Linked DNA regions of Mus musculus. The main gene of each other region encodes a partner of the protein of the gene in region 2 in a complex. Links are inferred from orthologs where the notes say so. Each region holds a gene or a part of one and is shown on either strand. Other genes may lie near its edges.

Region 1 (7,537 bases), on a different chromosome or scaffold from region 2:
TCTGGAAATCAAATCATCCTTTTAAAATCTCCAAAGGAAAACCAATTTAATAAAAGCATCAATTAGATTTTGAGACCAAGCCAGCTGTTCGGGGACAATACCATTTCTTCCACACTCAAAATCACTTTGGGAAACTACTCCAAGGCATCGCACAAATAGAAATAAAAGTGTGGTTAAGTATGGCCTTTGTGAAATGTCAACATCCAGGCAGTTACCAGCCACTACCCATAGGTAGATTGTAAACGATGAAATAACACTACCAAAATGGACTATTCTTACCCATGATGAATTGACTGGAATAGAGAAAATTTCTCTATATTGTAGGTAGTCCTGGAACCAGAGAGCCATCTGCCTCTGCACACACCAGCTGCTAGAAAAGCTTAATGTCTGCAAGCTTAATCAAACTTATATTTGCTTGGTTGATATTAACTTGCAACCACAACCAAGTTTACAAATCTAATGGAAATAATCTGCCCTAAATAAGCCCTACTACATCCAATGTTCAACCTTCATCTCCAAATCCATACTCTAGATCCAACAGAAAGTGAAACCTCTTCCAACAAATTTACCTGGTCTTCTGAAAATAACACTGGATTCAATTCTCAAAATGTGGGTTATAGTTGATCTCACTTTTCTATGCACAAAACAGGTTTTGAAACCCTCTCTTCCTACACATTTCTAAGCAAAATCCAACTCTATAAAGTTTGTACTCATCAAACTCCCAAGCAGCCACTTCAGTGAACCAAAAGATGCCATCGTAAAGCTGTAGATTCTATCTCATGCACCAACACATCCAGGGTCAGTTTCAGGACTTTTTACCTCTTACAGGGTCTTACACACAGAACACCACTTGGCACAAACACTATATACACTTAATCTCATAAGCAGATAATGCAAAGTACATCAGAAACAAGATATGCCATCACCTGCAGTTTTCAATTATTGCACTTAACTTCTACATTTTCACAGAACACTCATGACAATCTGTAGACTAGTTTTAACAAATAACACCTTTAAGCAGAAATGACTGTCCTAAATTGTTTATTGGATATGAATTTTACAAATATCACGTGTATTAGCGGTAACGGTGGAGCTGGAGAGTATTGCGCCTTCTCCAGGCTGCACGGCGGGAACCACCAATAGTGTGGTGGAACTTGTGGCCCTTTCCAAGGCCACGGCTCTTTCGGCCAGCAGATGTCAGCCCACGCATTTCTCTGTGTTTGTGGACTGGTTTGGTGATCCACTGGGTGTCAGGATTTCTTCTGATAGCTTTATGGAACGGATCAATGAGGATAACCTCAAAAAATTTATATGTGGAATCTTCACCAACCCAGTAGGAATTCAGGACTCTCAAAGCCCCACAATGGCGCCCAGCTCTCTCCTAAAATATGCAGAGAAAGACCAGTCAGTTTCCTGTAAACTAGACAAAAATCCTTCTAACTCTGGGTCATGAGACTGAAGCAGGCCAGGTCCCCACACACCTTAAGAATTAGACTAGCTTAAATGACAGACATGTAGACAAAAGCACATAACTTTTTTTCTCCCTAAAAACCAGACATGAAATTGAGTGCTGTCCTAGTCCCCTTCAGCAATAGGGATCAAGCCCATAACCCTATACATTAATTCAACAAATGAAAAAAAAAGTTCTAGCTTGTGGAAAGGGGGCTCCTACAACCATTTATCAACCTAAGAGTAACTGATCACAGAATATTAGCAATGTAAATAAAACAGAATGGCCCAAAATTTTACAGTCTTCCAAAAGCATAGGGTCTGTAGAAACTAGTCCAGAAACCCAAACCCCTTTCCGCACATCCTCAAGCAAAACAGTAACAATGAGTACCGATAGTGACTAAGTACAAAACAACTCCATCCCCACCTTATACCGAGGGAAACTCCACCGGCTTCCCCGTTTCTTCCTAGCCCACCATTCCTAATGGGTTGTCAAGACAATCGATACTCCCAACAACTCACCTCAGCAACAGACTGAAGGCTTCGGGCAAATTTCAGCTGGTTAACACCATGGTGGACAGGCTTGCCGTAAGTTGCACCCTTAGGAACTGGGCGTTTACGACCACCACGGCGGACACGAATCCTGTAAATGACATAGCCTACACAAACAAACAAAACAACCCAACCACCAATACGTTAGACTAAGTTAAGACTTTCCAATGCTTCCTTTTAATTACAAAGATAGACTATGTAGACTAAAGTATATCTGTAACCTATATCACATTTAGCATAGCTAAATCAGGCAGGTTTTTTGGGGGGGGGGGCACTTCCAAACTGAGGCCCGCCGACTTTTCTGGGAGTGTTATAGACCACCCACATCGTGACCTCACGCACCTTGCTTAGCCTTGTATCCCAGTCTTCGAGCTTTATCAGGCCGGGTGGGGCGGGGAGCCCTGTGCAGCGCAGAGAGCTGGCGGTATTGCCAACAGCGGACCCTCAGAAGAAAGCGCATCACGTCGGACTGCTTCTTCCTCCATAGCTCCTGGATGTACTTGTATGCACCCATCTTGGCTCACCTTTTGAGAGGAAGAAGCAAATCGAAAGAGCGATCGCTGTCAAGGACATTGACTACGGCCTCTCCATCCTTCCTGGAGCCCCACCGTCCACCGGGAATGAGAAGGGCTCTGCAGAGGCAGCAAGGCGCAGGGCCGGCTGGGCGGGACTGACTATTCCATACTCCCGGAGGCCGCCAGAACTGGCAGCAGGGTTATAACCGCCACCGCGAGTAAGACCAGGAGAGCTTCGTCCCACCCGGGCGGCCTGATGAGAGGCAAGCCGAGGCCACGCTTCCATCCCACGCCTCCTTCAGTCCCCGGCCCAGCTCGGATCCTGCCGCCATTGCGTCTCTCAAGCCTCCCGGACGGCGGCGTATTCGTACCCTCTCCACCCCGTATCCTCACTAGGCGCTCGTGCGAGGCAGAAACTCCGAGGCCGTAGGGTCGCCGGGGTCGGATGGCTGAAGACTAGCGCGATTCGCGACGGATAGACACACAAACACCACCCCGCCGCCCTACCTGATGGCTGCCGCCAGAGGAAAGGAAGAAGGCTTTCTCCCACAATCCCTTTTGTGGCTCCTCCTCCCACCCCGGCGACCCTCCTTCCGGTGGGGCATTGTAGCCGCACTGTGCCTCTTGGGGCTTGTAGTCCCGACATCCAACCTGGTGGGCGGAGTCAGGCTGGGACAGCCCGCCGCTTCCGGATGCTCTCCCAAGCTCTCAGCAGTGCTCCTGAGCTGCCAAGGCTGCGGAAAGTGAGAGGCGGCGAGTTTGCTTACGTCACGTCAAGGGGCCGGAGGAAGCAGGTCGGGGACCGGCTCCAGAGGGACGCCTTCGGACCGCGGTGACCTGCGTGCTGCTGTCTCACTGCCCTGCAGTGTCAGGTTGGTGTTTCCACCGGCGCCTCGCTCCGTGATCTCGGAGCACAGTGACCGCAGGACGGCCGTGACTTGGTCGTAGGCGAAGTGGTACGCGTGGACCTTGCGTGTCCTTAAGGCCGGCCAGGGACTTTGGACTTGCGCGAACCAGGCTAGTGGGTGGACTGTGGTGCCCGTCCCCCTCTGAATTTTCCGAGGTGCCCGGGGACTTGATTTTATAGGCGTTTTTAGGATAGCAAATTGTTCATTTGCCATGACCCGTTTCAGGAAGAAATGCTGGCATTCTGCACTGCGTTCTTTATTGAGAAGTAATGGTGTATTGGAGTTTTTGTAGTTCCAGAATTTTCTATTTTCATACAGTTGTGTGGTTTTAATAAACTACGCTTGTTTGTGGCAAAGGTTTTGGGAATCATGTTTACCTTTTCCATCAATCTGTGGCTCTTCTTATCTTTTAGAATAAATGGCAGCTTTAGCATTTTAAGAGTCCTCACCTGTCCTATTTAAAAATTCAACAGATGTATTGCTTAATATGCGTGGAGCTCAGTCTCAGCTGCTGGTGATGCAGCTCAGACAACATACAAGTTCTAGCCTTGGGAGCAAGCGTTAACACTATGCTATGTATTGCTTTTGATGCCAAGTGTAAAGGACACACATTGAAGGAGTGGAGGGGTATTGAGCGGTACAGTGTCTCAGCGTCCTGGCAAGTGGAGCCTGGACGAGGTGGGGTTGGGGTGCGGGGGGGGGGGGGGAGGGGCAGTAACTGACTTTTTTCTCTTTTAAGCACATCTGGTGGAGCTTGCAAGTTAGCATGGAGTGAAGGATATGAATTCTTTTAGGACAGTCTTCAAAAATTTTTTAACGTTTATTTTTAGGCTATGTGTGTTTATTTATGTGTGTTTACTTGGATGTATGTTTGTGCACGACCACCTTTGTACCTGGGGCCCACTGAGGTAGGTGGAAGTGGTTGAAAACTTCCATGTAGGTGCTAGGAACTGAACCCTGGGGGCTCTGCAAGAGCCGCCAGTGTTCTAATTGCTGAGCCTCCTGGATGATTTTTTTTTTTTTAATAATGCTGAAGAATAAATTACAAGTCTGTGAGTGTAGTTCAGTAGTAATGTGTTTCATTGATGTGCAGAGACACCATGACCAGGACAACTTTTATAAAGGAAAACATTTACTTTGGGGCTGGCTTACAGTTTCAGAGGTTTAGTCCATTATTATCATAGCAGGAAACATGGCAGCATGCAGGCAAACATGGTGCTGGAGAAGGAGCTGAGAGCTCTACATCTTGATCTACAGGCAGCAAAGAGAGGTGTGCCTCACTGGGCATAGTTTGAGCATGGTAGATCTCAAAGCCCACCCCCACCCCACAGTGACACTCTTCCTCTAACAAGGCCTTACCTCCTTTTTTTTTTTTTTTTTTTTTTTTCCATTTTTTATTAGGTATTTAGCTCATTTACATTTCCAATGCTATACCAAAAGTCCCCCTTACCCACCCACCCCCACTCCCCTACCCACCCACTCCCCCCCTTTGGCCCTGGCGTTCCCCTGTACCGGGGCACACAAAGTCTGCGTGTCCAATGGGCCTCTCTTTCCAGTGATGGCCGACTAGGCCATCTTTTGATACATATGCAGCTAGAGTCAAGAGCTCAGGGGTACTGGTTAGTTCATAATGTTGTTCCACCTATAGGGTTGAAGATCCCTTTAGCTCCTTGGGTACTTTCTCTAGCTCCTCCATTGGGAGCCCTGTGATCCATCCATTAGCTGACTGTGAGCATCCACTTCTGTGTTTGCTAGGCCCCGGCATAGTCTCACAAGAGACAGCTACATCTGGGTCCTTTCAGTAAAATCTTGCTAGTGTAAGGCCTTACCTCCTAATAGTACCTTTACTCTTTGGGTAAAAGATTGAAACACATGAGTCAGTGGGGCCATACTTATTCAAACCTCCACAATGTGCTTAGTAGTTAGGAATCAGAAACCAAACCTCAAGGTTTTAAGTTGGGGTACAGATCGCTGAGAGGAAGGGTTAAAAGACAATACAGAATACCAGGACTGAAGGGACTCTGGCCAGCTTGAGTGTATTGAGCGTGGCAATGGAAGAAGACCTTGCCTTTCTCTCCCATTCCCTCTGCCTTTCTAAAAACCATTAGATTACATTTCTAAAGCTAGCCACCAAGATCTAGTACCGTATTTGGCCACTTCCTTCTTCTGAGGCTATCAAGACTATCAAGGTCCAGGTATCAAAGTATTGAAGTCAAAAGGCCACTTTGGCTCACCTCATTAACATGCCCAATTAAAATTAAACACCTCATCCTAATACCAGATTATCCCTTATCCCTTTATAAACCACCATTTACCTATGATGTCCAATTCCTCTCTATCCAGAGGCAGTCCTTTGCCTCTTCAGGACAGAGACCCATCCTTCCTCTCCCTTCCTTTCCCCTCCCATCCTTTACCTCCTGACTTTGTCTCTATTCCCTACCCTCTGTTCCTCTGGGGTAAGTAAATCTCCTTTGTGTTAGAACTTGGTCTTGGGGGTCCAACAGACAAAAACAGCAAGCAGTATTCTGGAATCACAGCTAAGGAGCTAGGAAACTACTGAATGATTCTGAGAATGAAAGTTAGATTTTGCTGGGTGTGGTGGCACACGCCTTTAATCCCAGCACTTGGGAGGCAGAGGCAGGTGGATTTCTGAGTTGGAGGCCAGCCTTGTCTACAGAGTGAGTTCCAGGACAGCCAGGGCTACACAGAGAAACCCTGTCTCGAAAAAACCAAAGGAAAAAAGAAAGTAAGTAAGTTAGATTTTAAAATTCTAACTTAGATGGTTTGAGGCTAAAAGAAAAGAGAAAAATGGATTAGAGAGACTAGTGAGGTTATGTTAGTTTCCCTAACAGCAATTACATATTTTAAATTTATGTTTATTTGTGCATTGATGTTTTTTCCTGCATGTATGTCTGAATGAGGGTGCCAGATCCTCTGGAACGGAAGTTACAGATATTGCGGGTCCTCTGGAAGAGTAGCTAGTACTCTAACTGCTGAGCCATCTCTCCAGCCCTAGCAATTACATTTTAAAATTTATTTTTCAGAGATAAAATTTTCTTTCTCTATTTTTGCTATGTAGTTTTAACTGCCCTAGAAACTTTATGTGTAGACTAGGCTAGCCTCATACCTTCAGAGACCCTCCAAGTTAACTCAGGTGAGGATGTTAATGGCTCAAATAAAACACTTATCATTTTACAGTTTGTAGATCAGAAGCATCACTAGGATAAAAATCATGGTGTCAGGAAGAAGAAAATCAGCTCAAGGTCCCCCTGCATCCCTTGGCTCCTGGCTTCCTTCATGTTTTAGTCAGTCAGTCCCTCTCCTCTAAAACTTGACTCATAGACACTTGTGCCCAGATCACAACCCCAGCCTTTGGCTCCGTGTCTCAAGGTTAATCCAGCCACACATGCTGTGATGGTTATTCCCAGCTGTCAGCTTGATTACATCTGGAATGAACTTCAATCCAGGAATGGAGGACATAGCTGTGGTCCAGATCTTGAGGCTGGAAGACACAGGCTTTTGATCCAAATCTTGACATGGAATGACATAGGCTTTTGATCTGAATCTTGAGGCCTAGTGGCTATGAAAAGCTTAGGCCCAGGAAGGTGGTACACACCTTTAATCCCAGGAAACTGAAGCAAGCAGATCTCTGAGTTCAAGTCCAGCCTGAGACAGAGCAAGTTCCAAATAAAGAACAGTTTAGGTCCAGGTTTGGTGGTACACACCTTTATTCTGGGCCGTGCTTTCTGCTGGAGGCCTACACAAGGACATTGAAGAAGGAGGACTCACTCTTTTCCACCTGCTTGCACTTACCTGCCAGCACACCTGTTGGAGTCTACTTCATGATTCCAGCTTATACAGAAGACCAGCTGAAATACCCACCTTCGTGAGGCTGAGCAACTTCTAGATTCTTTTTTTTTTTTTTTTTTTTTAAATTTATTTATTATATGTAAGTACACTGTAGCTGTCCTCAGACACTCCAGAAGAGGGAGTCAGATCTCGTTAAGGATGGTTGTGAGCCACCATGTGGTTGCTGGGATTTGAACTCCTGACCTTCGGAAGAGCAGTCGGGTGCTCTTACCCACTGAGCCATCTCACCAGCCCAACTTCTAG
Region 2 (7,437 bases):
GGACATCAGACCGTGTCTCAGTTACTTTTCTGTCCCTGTAAAGAGAAACCATGCTGAAAGCAACTATTAGAATAAGGAGTTTACTGGAGCTTACAGTTGCAGAAGGTTAGAGTCCATGGCCATCATGGCAGGGAGTATTGCAGCAGGCAGGCAGGCATAGCTCTGGAGCAGCAGCTGAGCGCTCACATCTTGAGACAGCAGCTGGGAGGTAGAGGAAGATGGGACTGGGAATGTCATGAGCTTTTAAAACCTCACATACCTTCTCCAACAAGGCCACATCTACTTCTTCTCAAACAGTTCCAACAACTGGTGACCAAGTACTTACAGATACAATCTTTTTTTTTTTAAGGTATTTTCCTCATTTACATTTCCAATGCTATCCCAAAAGTCCTCCATACCCCCCCCCACTCCCCTACCCACCCACTCCCACTTTTTGGCCCTAGCATTGTCCAATGGGCCTCTCTTTCCAGAGATGGCCGACTAGGCCATCTTTTGATACATATGCAGCTAGAGTCAAGAGCTCTGGGGTTAGTTCATAATGTTGTTCCACCTATAGGGTTGCAGATCCCTTTAGCTCCTTGGGTAATTTCTCTAGCTCCTCCATTAGGGGCCCTGTGATCCATCCACTAGCCGACTGTGAGCATCCACTTATGTGTTTGCTAGGCCCCGGCGTAGTCTCACTAGAGACAGCTATATCAGGGTCCTATCAGCACAATCTTGCTAGTGTATGCAATGGTGTCAACTACAATCTTATGGATGCCATTCTCAATCAAACTAACACATTCCATTCCACTCCTTGGCCCCCATAGGCTGTGGCCATATCATAATGCAAACTGCATTCATTTAAACTTTAAAAGTCCCTATAATCTTTCACAGTATCAATACAGTTTAAAAATCCAAAGTTCAAATTCTCTTCTGAGACTCAAGGAAATCTCTTACTTAACCTTAACCCCTTGTAAATTATAAAAGCAAATGTAATACTTCTAACCGACAACTACATAGAATATACATTTACTATTTCAAAAGGGAGGAATCAGGGCATAGTGAGGAAATAATGGAACCAAAACCCACCAGAAAAAAACCTGCAGATCCTTTATCTCTGTGTGTGATGTCAAAGATAGCTCTGGAAGCAGTTTTACTGACTGAAGCATATATTATTCTTCTTTTCAAGCCACCACAGGCAGCTTTAGGAAACACAGTCAGGGTCATTGAACATGCCCTCCCCCTAAAGTCTGGTTTTATACACTTCTTAGTATGTTACATATCAGTCATTTTATTTCCCCGGGTAGGAAGTCATTTGGTTAATCCCCATTTTACTGTTTGTGAAATGAAGATAGCACCTTCTTCCAGAACTGTCAATGACAATTTATCAATGAATGAGTTATATTTGTGCAGAAGATTCGGCACACAAAGGACACTCAAGCATATACTCTTTTAATTTCCTCAGTTTATCAATAGTGTGATTTATATGAGCTGAATACAGAATTTGAAATTTGGGCTTTAATTTCTAGGCAAACATTGACCACCTTCTTCTATGGAATATATAAAAATGTTAGTGAGTTCAAACAGGCAACAAAATGGAATGGAGTTGTCATGTTCAAAGGATGTTAATTGGACATAGTTTTCTTCAGTTGCATATGAGATATGTATATAGGGCTAGCAAGAGCAATCTGCTCTGTTCTTCCTCCAGAATATACTCCTGCTGAGCTGCTCTGTTAACTTGGGGTTTCGGGTTTCTTTTGTAGTTTCCTAACAAGATCGTGGCTCAGGTAGCCTGTGATGTTCTTCAGTTGTTGGTTTCCTACTGGGAAAAGCTGCAGATGTTTGAAACTGCTCTACCCCGCAAAATGGCAGAAGTAAGTCCTTTATCTATACTGCTAAAGCATCTGCACTTCTTCTTACTAATGTATTTGATATCTAATTAACTGTAGATCCTTGGGTAATTGTTAGAGAAGCAACTATTAAACTGCCATGTGAGCCCAGTTTTCAGGCTGTGTTGGCTGGCTCCTCTCCTCTTCAATTCTAGGCACTGTGCAAAGAAGCCTGCAGTGTTCCAGCCAGAGGCTGGTGCTTGGAGAATTTGAAAGGCAGACACAACCACAACAAAGAGACCTTTTGTAGGTTGGGCTTTATTCATTGAGAGTAATTTGGATGGTGCCAACAAGTAGTAGGCAGCTGGTTTAATGCTTCCTTGCAGGGCGGGGGCCTGGCTGTTGTGTAAAGCAGGAGTTGTTCCCAGACTAAAGCCCTGGGCCACGCTTGCTGCTGTGGCATGGTTACTTGGCAGTAATGAGATCAGTGCAGTATTAATCTCTAAGGGGTAGTGGGCAGGAGAGGGGGCAGGAAGAACAGGAAGTCTCATCTCTACCACAGCTTCTTAAGTCAGCTCCCTCGGAGTAGGGACTAACTCACAGATGCCTGTGACTCGGCACCCCCGCACCTGCCTGTTTTATAAGCACTTCCTTAGGCAAGCTCTATTCTTTGCCCATCCCTTGGAGACTCTGAGGAAATGTGATTTGTCCCCATGAAGGATCTCAGGGAGAGAGAAGAAGTGATACAGATTCATTCCCTCCTACCCGTAGACAGACTTCACTAGTTGGCATCACTGGTTGTCCTCTCAGAATCACATCAAGAGTCACAAGTGGTTTTTGACCTGAAGTGATCTGGAGTGGAATAGACCTTTTACTCTGCTGCGGAGTGTAAAGTTAGGGTTAGGGGCACCTGTAATTATTCAGACAGGACACCTGTGAGAGTGGAGCTCTGTGCTGATTTATAAGATAGCAAATGGGAACCTTTTCATAATTATTTTTAAAACCATTTTTATTTCACTAGAAATGTGGGACTAATAGTTTCACTAGAAACTGTGACTATAGAGAGAACTACCCTTGCCTTGAGGTCTCAGTCCCCCATTAAGGAAGACCATTACATGGCCATAATTTTCAAATCTCTTACAACTGGCTGAGTAAGCAGCAAGCTGTGTTACATTGCAAGGCCATCTAGGGATTCTTAACTTATGGCTTCCAAACTATAACTATAGCTATGTACATTATATAAACTATATAATAACTACATATGAAAACTATAATAAATTGCTTGACTAGGTCTTATCTTTTGTGCAGATTCTTGTGGCCACAATTGCGTTCCTTTTACCAAGTGCAGAGTACTCGTCAGTGGAAACAGATAAAAAGGTAAGTGGCAGGTTAGGTAGCTTTCCCCAGAGTTATTTTTACATATAAGACAGAATGGGAATGACTATTGCTAATGATGGTGTCATTTATAACACCCTTCTATGTTGGCTTTAACATTCTTTCCTATGGAAACCCTTTTGCTCACTAACTTACCCTGTACTTGTGTGTCCATTAAAGACTGAGTATACACAGGGACAATTCTGTTTATTTTCACATGCAGTGGGTCCTAAAGGCCATAATGTAAGTTCTGGATATGTTTCGTCTTCTAGTTTATTGTGTCCTTGCTCCTTTGTCTCTTGGACTGGTGCATGGCGCTGCCCGTGAGTGCCCTCCTCCACCCTGTGTCCACAGCAGTTCTAGAGGAGCTGCACCCATCCCGGGCCCCCTTGCTGGATTATATCTACAGGGTGAGTCTCCCCTAAGCCTTGGGCACAGACTGTAGATCTACAGATTAAAATAACATAATGTTGTACATTTCCTACATTTATATATTTGTGCCTTCTGAAAATGACCTGTGGAAAGTTATGCATTTGGGAAGACATGAATAATTAATGAGTAAGCAGAACTGATACAGCTGTAGAGAATCAGTGGTTGCCAAGGTGAAGATGCACACACTGCACATGACTGTCAGATTTAAGCAACTGCCATGAATCAGAATGCCCCAATCTTCATCACAAGTGACCTGTATCTACTTCGTTTCTAAATGGACTGTTTATGTTATAGCCTATATTATAATATAGGGCCTGCAGCATAAGATTCACAAAGATCTGTTTATCAGACTATGAAGAAACCCATAATGCTTTTAGTAAATAAACCTCAAGAGGCAGGTGTAGTGGTGAATGTTTGTAATCTCAGTGCTTGGGAACATGGAGGCCTGCCTCAAAACCAGAACCAAAACAAAAGTAAAAGAACACAAAGGAAAAAAAAATCCTTAGGATATGAGTTAAGAAGTCTCACTTTAGCCAGGCGTGGTGGCACATGCCTTTAATCTCGGGAGGCAGAGGCAGGTGCATTTCTGAGTTTGAGGCCAGCCTGGTCTACAAAGTGAGTTCCAAGACAGCCAGGGCTGCACAGAGAAACCCTGTCTCAAAAAGACAAAAAAAAAAGTCTCACTTTGTGAGAAGAGACTTTAAAAACTGCATTCAATTTACTTTTATTTATTCCATATAATTCATGGGTTCATGTGTTGTACTGATTTAAACGCAGGTTGTGGTCACCCGGCCCTCTACCATGATGGCTTTCCCATAGCCTTCCTCTCGTTTCCTGGGCTGGCTCCTTCCACCTTGCTGCCTTTGGAGGAAGAAAGCCTGAGGCGTGTGCAGTCACACAGGAACAGAAACAGGCACCTTTCACCTGTGTTTTCCTTTGCCCTGAGCATGTAGATGTTGTCACTGACTTGCTAGTAGCAAAAAGATATTTAAGAATGGAAAGAAGGCCACATTTGGACATGTTCCTAGGAAGGAGCCCTCTCTCCTAAGCAGTGTGGGAGCTAGGCAGAGTTCAGGAAATGCTGGCACACGGAGCCATGCATGTCTGTCCTCCTCAGGTTCTGCACTGCTGTGTCTGTGGCTCCAGCACATACACACAGCAAAGTCACTATACTCTGACCTTGGCTGACCTGTCATCCACGGATTATGACCCCTTCCTACCTCTGGCAAACGTGAGGAACTCCGAGCCAATCCAGTATCATTCATCAGCAGACCTGGGGAACCTGCTGACCGTGGAAGAGGGTGGGTATAACTACAGATATACAATGTTATGTGCAGGAAAAGGTAAGAGTGCAGGCTTGTCTGTGCTTGTGTTTTAGGTTTGTTTTGGATCCAGTGTTGACATTGAAATCCCAGTTTATAGGATCTCTGATAGCAAACTCCCTTCCTTGTTTCTTCCTCTTTTTTCCTGTTATTTTTACTCCTCTCTTTTTTTTCCCATCTTAAATAATGCACATGGTTTTGTGTTGCATACCCATGAAATGCAAAAGGCACATTTTCTATCCCCAAGCAGCTTTCCAGGTAGTGGAGGAGGTAGGACATTGCTGGGCTGGTAGCATCTTCAGGACTTCCCATAGGGAAGGACTTAAACTGGACTCACCAGGGTGGACAGATTTGAAGGAGCTCATAGAGTATCCAGGCGAGGAGCCCCTCATGCAGAAACTTGATAGCAACCCAACCCTGAGACAGACCTCTCTCGTGTACCTTTTGTGGATAGAGATTTAGCAGGCCGTGATCAGGTGAGAGTGCAGGATGTACAGTGTGCCACAAAGTAGGTTCACCCCTATTTTAATGACTTACTTATTAGACCATTACCTGTTCTTGACATAATTACTACTTTTAAATAAAGTTACAAGCAAGATACACAGTCAAGCCATCTGTGATCACATGTGTTCAGATTGCTCATTGTTAATGACTACTTAAAACAGAAGGAAGGGGAGGAGCTTCAGAAGAGGCGAAGCAAAGGATAGCCAGACATTCTAGCTTTGTATTTCCTTCCTCCAGGAATCCAGAAAGAAGAGGGTACTTGGATTGTCTTCTTGTGTAGTAGTTTGTGAGACCCTCAGCTAGTTTTGCCATTGGTAGAATGTAGATCAACTCTGGCTTACAGGGAGTGAGCGCATGGGAAGCCAACTTCACTGAAATGTGCAGGAGGACGTCAATGTTTCCCACATGGCTCAGTACCAGGCCCATTTGGGATTGTATTAGAAGTGTCGTCATGGCATGGTTTACAGTGTGGTTCATAGGGCTCCTGGTCATTTCCCCACTGTAGAATTAAAACATTCACAAAACACAAACCAAAAGCACAGTGTCTGTAAGCAAAAGCAGAGGGGAGTTACTTTCCCCACTTGGTATTTTCCCTTTGTCAGTTTGTACCTTTATCATTAGTTTTGTGCCTACCCTACTGTCATGACGAAAGCGTGTTTCCCTCTATGAACTGTGAACTCCTGGCTGCTTTCCTGTGGGTTTCTAGATAGTAAAATTTCCCAGCTGGAGACCTTTCTTAGTTGTATAGAAATCTTACATATTTCTCTTAGGTTGTGGGGGAAAGTTTAAGTTTAGAATAGATGTAACTGGCCTCTTGTTTCTTTAAAAAACAAAAAGTTTTGTGTGACATTTTCTTTTCCATTATTGGATATAGATTTCATATACATTGAAAAAAATGATAAGAACTCAAAAATTCAAGGTGATCTTGCTCTCCTCACTTCTTACTCAGAATTTCTAAAGTTTCAGAGATTTGTTTCTTTCGAGGATTTTTATACAGCATGAAACAACATGTTATAAGTAAGCCATTGGATAATGTCTAAACCTAGAAGTATTTAGCATGAAGTCATATATTTACAGCGATTTATGTGCTAATTAATATTTGATTTTTTTTCACAGTGTGAGTTTAAAAGCTATTACTTCCTAAAGCTCTAAGATCAAATTATAAACCTTAATTTAAATATGTAGTCCTTTATCCATAAAATTTTTAAAGTTTCATTTTCACTTTTTTAAATTGACTTTTATAACTTTTGCCAGTTGAAGTTTCCTCAACTACTCTCAGCCTGAAGTACTATTTCAATTTCTAGTTATGTTTTAGTGTATCTACCTGTCCGTTATACCTCATTTTATAAAGCCCTAGGACTCATTCTGTTGTCAAAGTCTTTGTATATATTTAAGCTAAAATTTTATAAATCAGTTGCTCTTGATTACTAAATCATGAAATACAAATTCAGTTAAGTTCTTCTAAGTGCCTCCATGGTTTATTAATATGATGAATTTTCTTAAATATTTTTAGTGTTCCAATAACAAAACATAAACTATCACAATGATTACTAAGTATATTGTTTCCAATCTTTTAAAATAGCACCAAGGTTTATTAATATCCTTATCAGGTTTACCTGCAACCAACAGAGTAGGATCCCTAGCCCACTTTCAGATCTCATCCGGGTTTTTACTCTTATCTGAGCCCCTGAACTATTATCTGTCTAACCTGGAAATGCTTCTCTTTGACTTATTCTCATGTCTATAGACTTTTAAAGTCCCTTTCAGAGTGACGTCTTGGTGTAAGTTGGTTCTTTAGCAGTCTGTTTCAACTATGTTTTTATATTCAAATAGAATTAGAGTCAGAAAAGAGAAAAAATCAGTCTCACAGTTAAAACCATTCAGCTGGGTGTGATGGCACACACCTTTAATCCCAGCAGAGGCAGACATAGGTGGATCTATGCTTTACAGGCCAACCTAATCTGCATAGTGAGTTCCAGACCAGCCAGTGCTAC

The links. The genes of interacting proteins can lie anywhere in the genome.
Region 1: the proteins of Ralgapa2 (region 2) and Nkiras1 are in contact, whole or in part, in a crystal structure (PDB 9QU1), measured with the Homo sapiens proteins. The link is inferred for Mus musculus from reciprocal best matches to the Homo sapiens genes RALGAPA2 and NKIRAS1. Residues at the interface, in NP_065076.2 of Homo sapiens: Pro20, Lys21, Tyr51, Ser52, Gln53, Phe56, Tyr59, Glu60, Ile63, Arg99, Phe102, Arg103, Trp104, His105, Tyr106, Gln107, Ser108, Lys185, Ile186, Tyr187, Pro188, Glu189; in NP_001364280.1 of Homo sapiens: Lys6, Glu22, Leu24, Leu25, Tyr26, Glu34, Met39, Glu40, Asp41, Val42, Tyr43, Met44, Ala45, Ser46, Val47, Glu48, Lys54, Gln56, His58, Tyr60, His74, Tyr75, Ser77, Phe78, Lys108, Thr162.

Annotation. Positions count from the first base shown.
Region 1 is NC_000080.6:18,267,936-18,275,472, forward strand, and holds the start of Nkiras1 (NF-kappa-B inhibitor-interacting Ras-like protein 1), read left to right. Parts: upstream 1-3,200; 5' UTR 3,201-3,388; exon of another isoform or gene 3,389-3,472; intron 3,473-7,537. Other genes in the region: Rpl15 (60S ribosomal protein L15), read right to left, coding at 1,076-1,381, 1,972-2,108, 2,344-2,515. UniProt on the Homo sapiens protein: Atypical Ras-like protein that acts as a potent regulator of NF-kappa-B activity by preventing the degradation of NF-kappa-B inhibitor beta (NFKBIB) by most signals, explaining why NFKBIB is more resistant to degradation.
Region 2 is NC_000068.7:146,342,867-146,350,303, reverse strand, and holds part of Ralgapa2 (ral GTPase-activating protein subunit alpha-2), read left to right. Parts: intron 1-1,745; coding exon 1,746-1,856; intron 1,857-3,119; coding exon 3,120-3,188; intron 3,189-3,457; coding exon 3,458-3,595; intron 3,596-4,734; coding exon 4,735-4,918; intron 4,919-7,437.